Macaca fascicularis: one gene and its partners. The protein of the gene in region 1 purifies or fractionates together with the protein of each later gene. This does not show direct contact. Links are inferred from orthologs where the notes say so. Each region holds a gene or a part of one and is shown on either strand. Other genes may lie near its edges.

Region 1 (3,975 bases):
CAGCAGCAAATTGACCACAGGGTAGGGGCTCTCCCTCAGGGGTGGGGGTGGGACTGGGCCTGACGCTGACTCAGCACCTGCTGCGGCTGCCGCTAGCTTGGCGAGAGCCTTGCCTTGGCCCGGTGCCGGTCTGTCTGACACTGACCCGTCTGTCTGTCTGTCTGTCTGCTGGCTCGCGGGGGCCCAGCTCTCCCTGAGGCTCAGCCTCTCCCCTTCGGCCAGGTAACCCGCCTGGGGTAAGGGGGACATCACCAAGGATATGGGGGGTGGGAGCTGAGGAGATGGAAAGGCAGGCTGAGTCACGTGGGGGCCCGGTCCCACTCAGAGGGTGGGCTGCGGATTGTACCACTATGGGCAGCCGGTGGCGCGGGGAGGAGGGCGCGAGGGGGCTACCCTTAAGGGAGTTGGGAGCGGGCGGGAGCAGGGCCAGAGGGACTCCCTGACTGTCGCACCTGGACGGGGACCACACTCTAACTCTCAGAACTCTCCTCCCCCATCGCTTGCTCTCTGCCGACTTCCCTGTCCCCCCTTGTAGGTGGTACGACCCCCAAGAGTCTGCGCCGATCTCTAGCCGTGAACTGTGTCTGAGTTCCTCCCAGCGTAGGGTCCCCTGAGCCTACGGGACCCGATTTCGGAGTGGCGCGGGGGTTATGGGAGGGGGTGCCCAGCTCCGTTCTTGAAGCGCAGGTCACGGGAGGAGGGCGCATAGAGGGCTGGCTGGCGAGGTAGCTGCAAGGACACCCGAGGGAGAGCTGGGGAGATTGGCTCGGAGCCAGAAGAGCTCGACCAGGAGGAACCGAGCCCAGGCGTGGAGGAGCGGGAGAACCGGGGCGGGCAGGGGCTGGGGGGGCGTGCTGCTGGAGCTGCAGAAACCCTTGGGGTGACCCAGGCATCTGGAAACCCCCAGGCCTCTCCGCTCCAGATTGAAAGAATCGCGAGAACCGGCACGTAGGCGGAGGACGATGGGGGTGGGGACTGCTGTGTTGGGGAGGGGGGACAAGCAGGAACTGCGAGGCTTTCGGGGATACAGACTTAGCCCCTCAAGCCTTCCCCTTGACCTCGAAAATAAGGAGACTCCGGGTTATGGACTAAAGAGAAGGGAAACTGAGGCACAGTCTGGCAGGGACTTTGTAGTCCTGGCCCACCCCCTTCCACTTTCGAGGAGCCCCTCAGCCGGGCCCTATCCTTCAGAGTCCCTGGCCTCAATCTCCCAGGCAGAGAAACCTCTGGCCGGGAGACCCAGCCCCAGCCGCACTCACCCGGGCCGCGGTCCGGCCGCGCGGGCCGCCCCCCGCACAGTCGCACCTTGGACAGCAGGATGAGGAGCTGCTTCTGGCAAAGGGACTTGGTGCCGCGGGGACACACCCGCCGCTGTGCCGACACCGGCCGGCTGCCCCCGGGCTCGCGGACCTCCCGCTTCTGCCGGATCAGGCTACTGGCCAGCGCCGCCATGGCGCCCCGGGAGGAGACACCCCCAAACCGGCCAGCGCCAGGAGCGCGCTGGGCTCCAGCCCGCTCACTAGGGCATGCTCTTGACGCTCAGGCCCCGACTCGCTGCCCCACCCACAGGACCTGAGGATAAGCCCCAGAACCCCCCACCCCACGTACACCCCTCCACAGCAGCCAGTTGCCACCCGTGGGCCCAGTGCTGGCTCCACCGGATCCAGCAGCCTATGTACTCCTCAGTGGATCCCACCCTCGAGTTTTGCCTCCTACTGAAAACGTCCCCTTTCCCTCCTCTCTAGTGTCTGTCCCCACTTCACCTATCCCAAAACCAAGACCCCCCAAATTTCCAAGACGTGGTTAAAATATCTCCAGGCACCTTTCCACTGTATTTGGGGGCACACTTCTACCAAATCCACTCTTGTAATCTACAGGGTGTGAGACTTTAGCTTTGGGGATATTCGCTCATCCCACCCCTACTGGGGCACTGCCAATGTCAGGAAGGAACCCAACCTTGGTGTTTTTTCCTTTGCTACACTCTAAATGGAGGGGATCCCCCACTTTTTTCACTGAAATCTCCCCAAAATATGTCTCAGAGTATCCAGGTTGCCCAGATTCAGTAAGACGGGGCTCCCAGACCCTCTGGCTGGATAACAGCTTTTTCACCAAGTCACCCCCATGTCTAGTAGCATAGAATTCTAGCGGCCAAGACCGTTTCTTCACCTTCACACCCTCCGCTCCTTTTGAAGTCACCTCCAAATCCACCCTTCCTAGTGGATACACCACGTAGTTGTCTGGAGGGCCTTCCGCCACCTCAAAATGAGGAGCATCCGTGTTTGCTTTTTTTTTCTCCCCTGGCTGCCCCTTAAATTTTCTTGGGGACAGCTGGTGCTGTTTAGATCCCACGCCCTCCAATCTAACCAGCCCCCCGAGTGAGGAGTGCACCCACGTTGTCACCAGTCCCCAAATGTGAACAGGCCCCCTACAAGTCAGAGCGGATCACAGCTTCCTGCGACAGGGCTTCCTCGTCCTCCCCGGGATTGCCTATAGCACCCCCTCTTCCTTTCCCCGACGCCCCTCAACCTGTCCTGTCCTGTTGATCCGGCGACGGGTGGCGCTGGCTTCGGCTCCAGGCTCCTCCCTCCCTGTCCCCCGCAAACGGAGCTTCCCCCCACGCCCGGCTAGGCGTCCCGGACCCTGGGGAAGGAGTGAGGGTGTCTCTGCAGAGCTCCCCGGTCCGGCGAAGTCAGAGCACTGGGCCGGTGGCTGGACCAGGCAGAGCGGCGGCAGCGGCGGCAGCGGCAGCGGCTGTGGGAAGCTGAGGCGGCGGCGGCGGCGACAGCAGTTCCCCCTCCTCGGAGAGCCGGCCCGGGGGCGGGGCAGGGGGCGGAGACGCTGGGAAATAGGAGGGTGAAGCCGGGCAGGAGGAACCCCGGGGTTCCTTGGAGGTAGAGAGCGCGGACTGTGTCTTACAAGCAGGCAAAGCCGAGGCAAGGCCGCACGTCTCAGCCTTCAGAGAAGGAGGGACAAGAAGGCCTCCCGAACGCACCTCTGGATAGGAAGGAGAGGTTGGGCCCAAGGGAGATGGAATGGCGGACGCTGGGAGAATGGAAAGGGACCCTACTGGCCGGGATGTTAGCGAGGACAGAACAGCACGAGGAAAGTGGGGGAAGAACTGGAGAGATGGAGGAGGGGTAGTGGTGAGATCCAGCCTCGGGCGAAATCCGGCCTCCTTCATATCTCTGCCTTTGTGTGTGAGCCAAATTGATCAGACCCTGGTCTCCATAACTCCTTTCCGCGTTTGGTCAGCAAACATGTTTCTCCCATTTCTATTGACCCTTAAGAGAAATGACCAAAAGAACTGGGGACAGACGGTTTCTGGAAGCTGCCCCTGGGCGGAGTGCTGGCCACAGAAGTGTAGAGTAGCCAGGCTGGAATGGGGCAACTTGTGCCGGGGCAGGCGGGTGGTCCTAGAGGAGGAACCAACAGGGAGGCCTTCCAGAAGGGGGGCTTCAGGCCCAGGGCACACAGTCAGTCCCCCAGGCGAGGGGCGAGCTGTGCCCCCCACGTCTCGCTCGCCCACAGAGGCACTTTCCACTGGTAGGAACAGCATCTTTAATGGGCCCCGCCCCCCACGCCGGCCAAACCGCCCCCTTTGCGGGCCACCTTGGCCTCCTCCACCGCGGCACGGAGGGCCCGGGCAGGGTCCCCGCGGAGCCGGACCAATTCTCCGAGCAGCGCAGCGGAGCCGTCCCCGGTACGGAGCTCTCGGCCGTTCAGAAAATAGTGAGGCAAAGTCCCAGCCTCGAGCACTCGGCCCAGCTCGTCTAGCAGCCCGAGGCAGCAGGCGCCCGCATTTTCTGGCCGCGCCAGGTAGAGCGCGGGCAGCCGCTCGCACGCCCAGTACAGCAGCGTCCGCAGGAGGTAGGGCGCCGCTGCCCGGGTCCCGGCCACCAGCGGGCGCAGTAGCGCCTGGGCCGCCGCGTGCGCCTGTAGCAGCGGCGCTGGTATGCGCGCTTTGAGCGCCAGCTC
Region 2 (3,500 bases), about 75 Mb from region 1:
GAGGAAAGCTGGGCTGTGTGGCTCCAACCAGGAGGCGAGGGAAGGAGAGCCCATGTAGCTCTTCTGCTCAGGACCCAGCAGCTGGGGTTAGAACTGCACCAGCTCCTTTCTCTCCTTCTCTGTTAGAGCTTTCTAGAAAAGGTGGTAGGAAAGTTTCCATCTCCTTTTAGGAGGGAACTTGCATTCTTCGCAGCACAGTGAGCTGACAATCCAGGAAAATCCTGGAGGTCTGTGAAAGTCTACATGCACCAGCGATGGATGGCCGGGAAGAGACTGCTGGGAGAAGCGAGGCTGGTGGGCCAACTGCGGGCTGCCCCCAACCCTGCACCAAGGGCTGTGTGGAATGCCTGCCTTGCCCCCTCATGCTTTTGCTGAGATCTCACCAGGAAGACCTGAGAGCCCATCTTCTGGCTACACGACTATGGTCCCCAGCCCAAGCTGCCATAGTCACAAGCCCAGTGGGGGGTCTTGCCAGAGCCTCACCTGGGGCAGGATGATGGTCTTTGAGTTGTCAGCCCACACCACCTCCACCTTGCTGCTGACGTCCACACGGGCCACCTGGCCCACCGATGGCTGCTGGGCAAAGGGGACAAAGTCAGGGGGTCCAGCTCAAGCTCCAGCTCCCCAGCCCCTCCTGTGCTCTGCAGTGACTGACATCATGCCCACCCAGCTCGTGATAAGAACTTAGCTCCTCTGGTAAACGTAACCAGCGGCAGCTGAAGAAGCCTGACCCCAGAAGCGAGGCAGGGAAACAAGTCCTTCTGCAGCTGCTAGGGCTGAGCAGCAGCTTGACTTTGGGGCAGCTGCCCTGGGGACACTGAGCCCAGAGGACTTTCAGGTCTTGTCTCCTAGAGCCACCTGGTGGCAGCATCAGGGACTGCAGCTGGTGCACAGGGCAGTGAGCAGCGATCCAGAACTTGAATTGGAAGGCACACCTCATCCTCCTTGTGAGGAGCCCCGTCCTCAGTATTGCCGATGCGGATGACGATGTCAGTTGTACGGAACCTAAAGTCAGGGTGGTCAGCAATGTCGTAAACACTCACGTCTTCCTCTTCTCCAATCAGCTGTGGCACAGGACAGGTTGTCATGAGCTACGGGTCCTACACCTAACCCCAGAGCCCACCTGAAGAAAGCAGTAGGGGCTGCACACACCTCCACGTCGTCCCCACTCGGCCGCAGCTTGAACCACTTCACCATGCAGGTGCGGCCGAGGTGGTCCCCAGACTGTACCACGCCGTAGACAGCAGGGTCTGGACAGCTCTGGACTAGGGAACCAGAGGAAGGGATGTGACTAGCTAAGGGATCCCGGCTAAGGAGCCGACATCTCAAGCCAGTGCAGGGTGCAAACTGTGACCTTCCCCCGTCTTGGAAGTGGTGAGACCCCTTCATGAGGGCAGTCCCCTTCTGGACCTCATTTTAGCTCTGACCCCAGATCCACTGCCCATTCTCCACAAGCCCCAACCTGGGCCCTCACTGGCAACCACCCTGCTGGCTGCCCTTCCAGAGCTGGCACTACCTCGCTTATCTACCACGAAGTCTCCGGGGCAGAACTCGTTGTTGTCCAGGTGGTGCACAGGAAAGAGGTCGTTGGAGCGGATGTTGCATTCCACAGAGCCATCCTGCCACATCACGTCAGCTGAGGTCATCGTGGTCACCACCTCCACTGCCACCCTGCCGGATGCAGGCCAGTCAGCAGGCCATGCAAACGCCACCCCCGCCCACGGAAAGGGCAGAGAATCTTTTTGTCCCTTCCTGTCCCTGTGGGCTTAGTAACCTGAAACTCCGAATCCCAAGTTGGCAGGATGAGTTTCTGGTGCACAGGAAGCTCACCCAGGGTTCCGAGGCCATGCACTCTCTTGAGAACGAGACCCACTTGGGAGAGCTCAGGCAAATGTGTTCCCAGAAGGCCAAGCTTAAGGCCACCACCATCCCACCCTCTGCACCACTCCTCAGTCTCCGCTTTCCACCAGGGCCTACCCCAGGCACCTACGCTGTCTCGGATGGGCGTCCCTGAGCCACTACAAGGCATGCAGAGGTGTGTGTGCGAGCACAGGCACGCACACCCAGGGGACGCGCACTCTGCCTGGCTTCACGCTGACGCCGCTGGGGAGGGGCACAACTCTGAGTTTACCTGTCCCCTGGCTTGAAATCTCGAGTGATTTTATTCTTCTTCCTCTTGTGTTTGCGCTTTAAGTTCTTGATGGACAAGGGGATGCTCTTTTTGCGACTCGTGCCACTGCCGCTCTGGGAGGAAGTGGTGGAGCTGGCAGAGGAGGTCACTGAGCTGGTGTCGTCCGTGTCGTCAGCAGCCTCATCATCTGCGTCCTGCTCTGCCGAGTGCAGCCTGTCATCTCTGCCTTCTTTTAGCAGGAATGGGGGCAGCTGCTCTCCTGCCTCGTGGGGCTCCTCTGCACCTTCGTCCTGCATCTCCACTGGACTGGCAGAGCCATCAGGCGTCTCCTCGGGACTGGCAGACTCTGCTTCACTCTTGGCTTTGGTTTCCCCCTTCTTGTCTGGGTCTTCCATGGAATGGTCCCGGGAACACTGGGTGTCTGGAGAGCACGACATGATCCGCACAACCTGCTTCTTCAACAGGCGCTTCACCTGCAAGGGCGGAGCAGAGAGGACAGGGCTGTGAGGTGCACCTGGGCAGGCCTGGCCCTAGGCATCTCAGGCTGGGGGGATGACAGTTGTATACACCTGAGTAGCCGGCAAGGGTCATCAGGGCTGCCCCCCAAGGCCTAAAGCACAGACTGTCCTTTTTGGCCATGGAAATGGCTCAAGGCCAGTTCCTCAAATGCCCACCAACCCCCAACCCCAAGGACATACCTTCTTGGCCATAGAGCCCTCCCCCTGGGCGCAGTTTTTTTCTGGACATTCCCAGGCAATCTTGGCTGGCTCTACCTTGGCTGGGAAGACATACAGACAGCGCTCCCCAAGCTGCCGCTGAGCATGGTCAAAGCATCCGAGACGCTTCACCCTGGTTGGGAAAGAAGCAGGGGTGAGCTGAGCTGGACTCCTGGGAGGCCAGCAGTGTTCTTGAGCCTCCCCGGGCATGTGGCCAGGGCCCAGAGGCCTGTTCCGCGCGTGCCCCTGGGTTGCTGGCAGTAAGGGCGTGCTCACCTGCCTAGGTTTTCCTGGGTGATGACAGAGGGTGGGGGGCTGACGCTGTCCGTGCCCCCTGGACAGAAACTTTTGGTAATCCATGTAACTTTCAACTCTACAACCTGCACCTGGGGATGGCAGGTGGGACACGCCAGTCAGGGCAGGCTCTGACAGCACTCTCTTTAGCCAGTTGCCCAAAGCCCACTCGACCTCCAGAGCAGGAAACTGATCTTCCTAGTGTAGCACCAAGTACAGACACATCAGAGCAGACCCCAACTGTAACCACGGCCCACACCCAATGCCCAGGACCCGTGTCACTGCTCACACCAGCCAGGGGCCACTGGAACTGCTACTTGCCACCCTCCCACCTTGCTCAGCCTGTACAGGCTGGGCTG
Region 3 (3,500 bases), on another chromosome or scaffold:
ATGTGATCCTGACAGATGCTTGAATTTGAGAACCAGTAATCTACAGAAATACCGTTCCTTATCTGCCCTAAATTGTTCTTCTGTTTTTGCCAGGTCTAGTTCCAATCCAGATGGGACCAGGTACCTCTATTATCTGGGATTACTATAGCTGGTACAGGTTTAGAATCAGTAGTCCCTTATCACAGGCACTAATGGCATAATATTGTTAGGGTGGGTGAAAGAGCTGCAACACGGAAGCATCCACAACATTTTCATTCATACCACCAATTAGAGCCTAGAGGAGCAGAAGTGAGAGGGTTATAAAAGGTAACTCCAATTAAGAGTGTTCCCTTGACTTAAATGAAAGTCCCTTGGGGACTGCACTCTGTAGAGTTGGGGCCACTGAGGTTTTTCTATCCTTGTTTTTTTCTTTCCTGGCTCTAGCTGCATCCTACACAGATAGCTCTGATGATGAGGTTTCTCCCCGAGAGAAGCAGCAAACCAACTCCAAGGGCAGCAGCAATTTCTGTGTGAAGAACATCAAGCAGGCCGAATTTGGACGCCGGGAGATTGAGATTGCAGAGCAAGGTAAAGAAAGGGAGTGGTTTAGGGGACGAGAAACGACCCTCTTGTTGGCCATCAGAATCCACAAACAACTTAAGACTTGAAAGCTGACTTGAAAGTATACTGGGAAGAAAGTATTATGGACTTCCGGATACACACTTCTCTCTCTATGGAACTTGAGTCTCAGGATTCTTGTTCTCTCTTCCTTCTGTTCTCAGCATGTGGTGATGACACACAGAGTAGTTTCTGTTTTCCTCCCCGCCCCACCCCACCACCGTATTCAAAGATCTACATGGCAGAATTGGCAAGTCCTAGATCACTACTTGGTAGTTGGTTATATGGGATCTTACTATAGCTGCCAATGCCAGAGACCCAGATTGCCCAGAAACAGCTGATGAGGAAGGGTTTTAAGCTAAGGATGTGGTGACCTAGCGTCTTGTTTGGTCCTGAGCACCCTCTGCTGGAGCAGAGTAAAAGTGACTGACAAACAGTTGAATCTTGGTTTCCCTACCCCAACCACTCCCAGTAAGGTCCTCTTTACTCTTGTGTTGTTTACACATTGAAGGCATGTTCTTTACTGAAAGAGAATAGAGAAACCAAACAGACTGACAGGATACGGTAAGACAGCATAGAAAAACAGAAGTTAGTGATTTCAGCTGAGGGTACAGTCTTTCTGGTCTGATGATTTTATATATAGGGATCTGTTAGCCAGTGCCTTAACTACTTTCCTCTCTTCCCAAATGAATGATGAGATTTACCCTTCATTTTGATCAGTTTTAAGGATTTACTTCATTCTCTGTTCAGTCCTCTGTGTATAAAGCTGAAGCAGTAGAGGAAGAGAGAAACTCCAAGTGGTTGCATGACCGCTCTCCACTATTACTGTGCTGTTGAAGCTGCCAGTCATCATGAAAATAGGCTTAAAGTTTTTCTGTCTCATCTCACCGTATCTCAACAGATCCAGACCAGCCCTGGGGCAGGAACTGATGATACTGCTAGTGCAGACCTAGCTCAAATCCTCTGTTCTTTCACAGACATGTCTGCTCTGATTTCACTCAGGAAACGTGCTCAGGGGGAGAAGCCCTTGGCTGGTGCTAAAATAGTGGGCTGTACACACATCACAGCCCAGACAGCGGTGAGTTTGTTGGAAGAAAAGAGGGACTTCTGATAAGGGGAAGAAAGAAATCAATGTTTTTTTTTGTTTCACTTTTCCTTCCTAACTCACCAACCTCCAAATGCTAACTATTAGTAGGATCTCCCTGCTACACAATAGTGGGGTTTTCTGGGGGTTTTTTGTATGTGTAAACCCACTTTCAGCAAACTTAACCTAGGAAAGTCTAGATTTGCAAACATATGATTGTTATAAAATGTTATGAAGACTTTTAGAAACCTACGTTTTATGTAAAGTTAAACACCAGTGCACCACCTCGCTGGAGTACACCCCTTTCTAACTTCCCAGTGTAGCGCCTGTTGGTGCAGAGTTGATAGGTATTGTTATCTTGCTGAGGCTTGCTCTCCATTCCTGGGTGGCCCTTCTCTTCCTCACCCTGTCTTCCTATACCTCTACACAGGTGTTGATTGAGACACTCTGTGCTCTGGGGGCTCAGTGCCGCTGGTCTGCTTGTAACATCTACTCAACTCAGAATGAAGTAGCTGCAGCACTGGCTGAAGCTGGTAAGTTCAGTATTTTTTTTTTTTTTTTACCAAATTTGCCCCAAAATAGTTATCCAAACATATAACTTTTATGTATCAAAATTGTCATTACAATGTCATATATGTCTAGAGGCTGTAAAATTGGGGATGGTGAAAACCTCAACAGGAAGAATGTGGATAATAAAATTAAGATGTATATCCATGATGGAATATTATGTAGTCATTAAAAATGACCTTTGAAAATAATCTAATGGCATGGGGACATGCACAGTTCTGGTGTTAGTTGAACGAGGAAGAATGTTAAACTATATACGTGCTATCAGTTTTGTGAGAGAGCACAAGTAGGAAGTGCCTTTTATATTGATAGTGCATTAAATAATTTGGTATTCAGTATGGCATTGAAAATATATGAGCTATTCATGAGTTTAATTAAACAAAATAATTTTTTATTATTCAGGCCAGGCCTGGTGGCCCATGCCTGTAATCCCAGCACTTTGGGAGGCCGAGGCGGGCAGATCACTTGAGGCCAGGAGTTCAAGACCAGCCTGGCCAACATGGTAAAACCCCACCTCTACTAAAAATACAAAAGTTAGCCGGGAGTGGTGGTGTGCGCCTGTAATTTCAGCTACTCCGGAGGCTGAGGTAGGAGAATCACTTGAACCCGGGAGGCAGAGACTGCAGTGATCCGAGATCATGCCACTGCACTGCAGCCTGGGTGACAGAGTGAAACTCCATCTCAAAAATTAATAACAATAATAATAATTTTTATTATTCAAATGTTCAGAAGAAAATCACCATGAAGTTTCTTTGAGGACCTCTCATCTTTCTCTCTTCCCTTCTCTTTCTTCTCTTTCTCTTTCTCTTTCTCTTTCTCTTTCTCTTTCTCTTTATCAAGATGGAGCCTTACTCTGTTGCCCAGGCTGGAGTGCAATGGTGCAGTCTCGGCTAACTGCAACCCCTGCCTCCTGGATTCAAGTGATTATCGTGCCTCAGCCTCCTGAGTAGCTGGGATTGCAGATGCACGCCACCACACCCAGCTAATTTTTGTATTTGTAGTAGAGATGGGGTTTCACCATGTTGGCCAGGCTAGTCTCGAACTCCTGACCAGCCTGGATGTTTGATCTGCCTGCCTTGGCCTCCCAAAGTGCTGGGATTACAGGCGTGAGACACTGCACCCAGCCAGACCTCTCATCTTTCTAAGAACCTCAGAAAGTAACTTTATAATACTTCTGGGGTTTTTTGTTTATTCTTTTCTGATAAGTGTTTACTGCAAAAAATTTAGGAAGTTCCCAAAAAACCTACAATCC

What was found. Proteins that work in one complex are often made in the same cells at the same time.
Region 2: the proteins of FGF11 (region 1) and UBE2O purify together in Homo sapiens (affinity purification with mass spectrometry; 3 studies listed by BioGRID and IntAct, with this or other methods). This does not show direct contact. The link is inferred for Macaca fascicularis from reciprocal best matches to the Homo sapiens genes FGF11 and UBE2O.
Region 3: the proteins of FGF11 (region 1) and AHCYL1 purify together in Homo sapiens (affinity purification with mass spectrometry; 3 studies listed by BioGRID and IntAct, with this or other methods). This does not show direct contact. The link is inferred for Macaca fascicularis from reciprocal best matches to the Homo sapiens genes FGF11 and AHCYL1.

Annotation. Positions count from the first base shown.
Region 1 is NC_088390.1:7,485,129-7,489,103, reverse strand, and holds the start of FGF11 (fibroblast growth factor 11), read right to left. Parts: upstream 2,801-3,975; 5' UTR 1,453-2,800; coding exon 1,260-1,452; intron 1-1,259. Other genes in the region: TMEM102 (transmembrane protein 102), read right to left, coding at 3,559-3,975.
Region 2 is NC_088390.1:82,842,952-82,846,451, forward strand, and holds part of UBE2O ((E3-independent) E2 ubiquitin-conjugating enzyme), read right to left. Parts: intron 3,234-3,500; coding exon 3,124-3,233; intron 2,981-3,123; coding exon 2,830-2,980; intron 2,605-2,829; coding exon 2,132-2,604; intron 1,672-2,131; coding exon 1,517-1,671; intron 1,266-1,516; coding exon 1,153-1,265; intron 1,065-1,152; coding exon 936-1,064; intron 577-935; coding exon 484-576; intron 1-483. UniProt on the Homo sapiens protein: E2/E3 hybrid ubiquitin-protein ligase that displays both E2 and E3 ligase activities and mediates monoubiquitination of target proteins. Negatively regulates TRAF6-mediated NF-kappa-B activation independently of its E2 activity.
Region 3 is NC_088375.1:124,301,820-124,305,319, reverse strand, and holds part of AHCYL1 (S-adenosylhomocysteine hydrolase-like protein 1), read left to right. Parts: intron 1-423; coding exon 424-567; intron 568-1,574; coding exon 1,575-1,675; intron 1,676-2,111; coding exon 2,112-2,214; intron 2,215-3,500. UniProt on the Homo sapiens protein: Multifaceted cellular regulator which coordinates several essential cellular functions including regulation of epithelial HCO3(-) and fluid secretion, mRNA processing and DNA replication.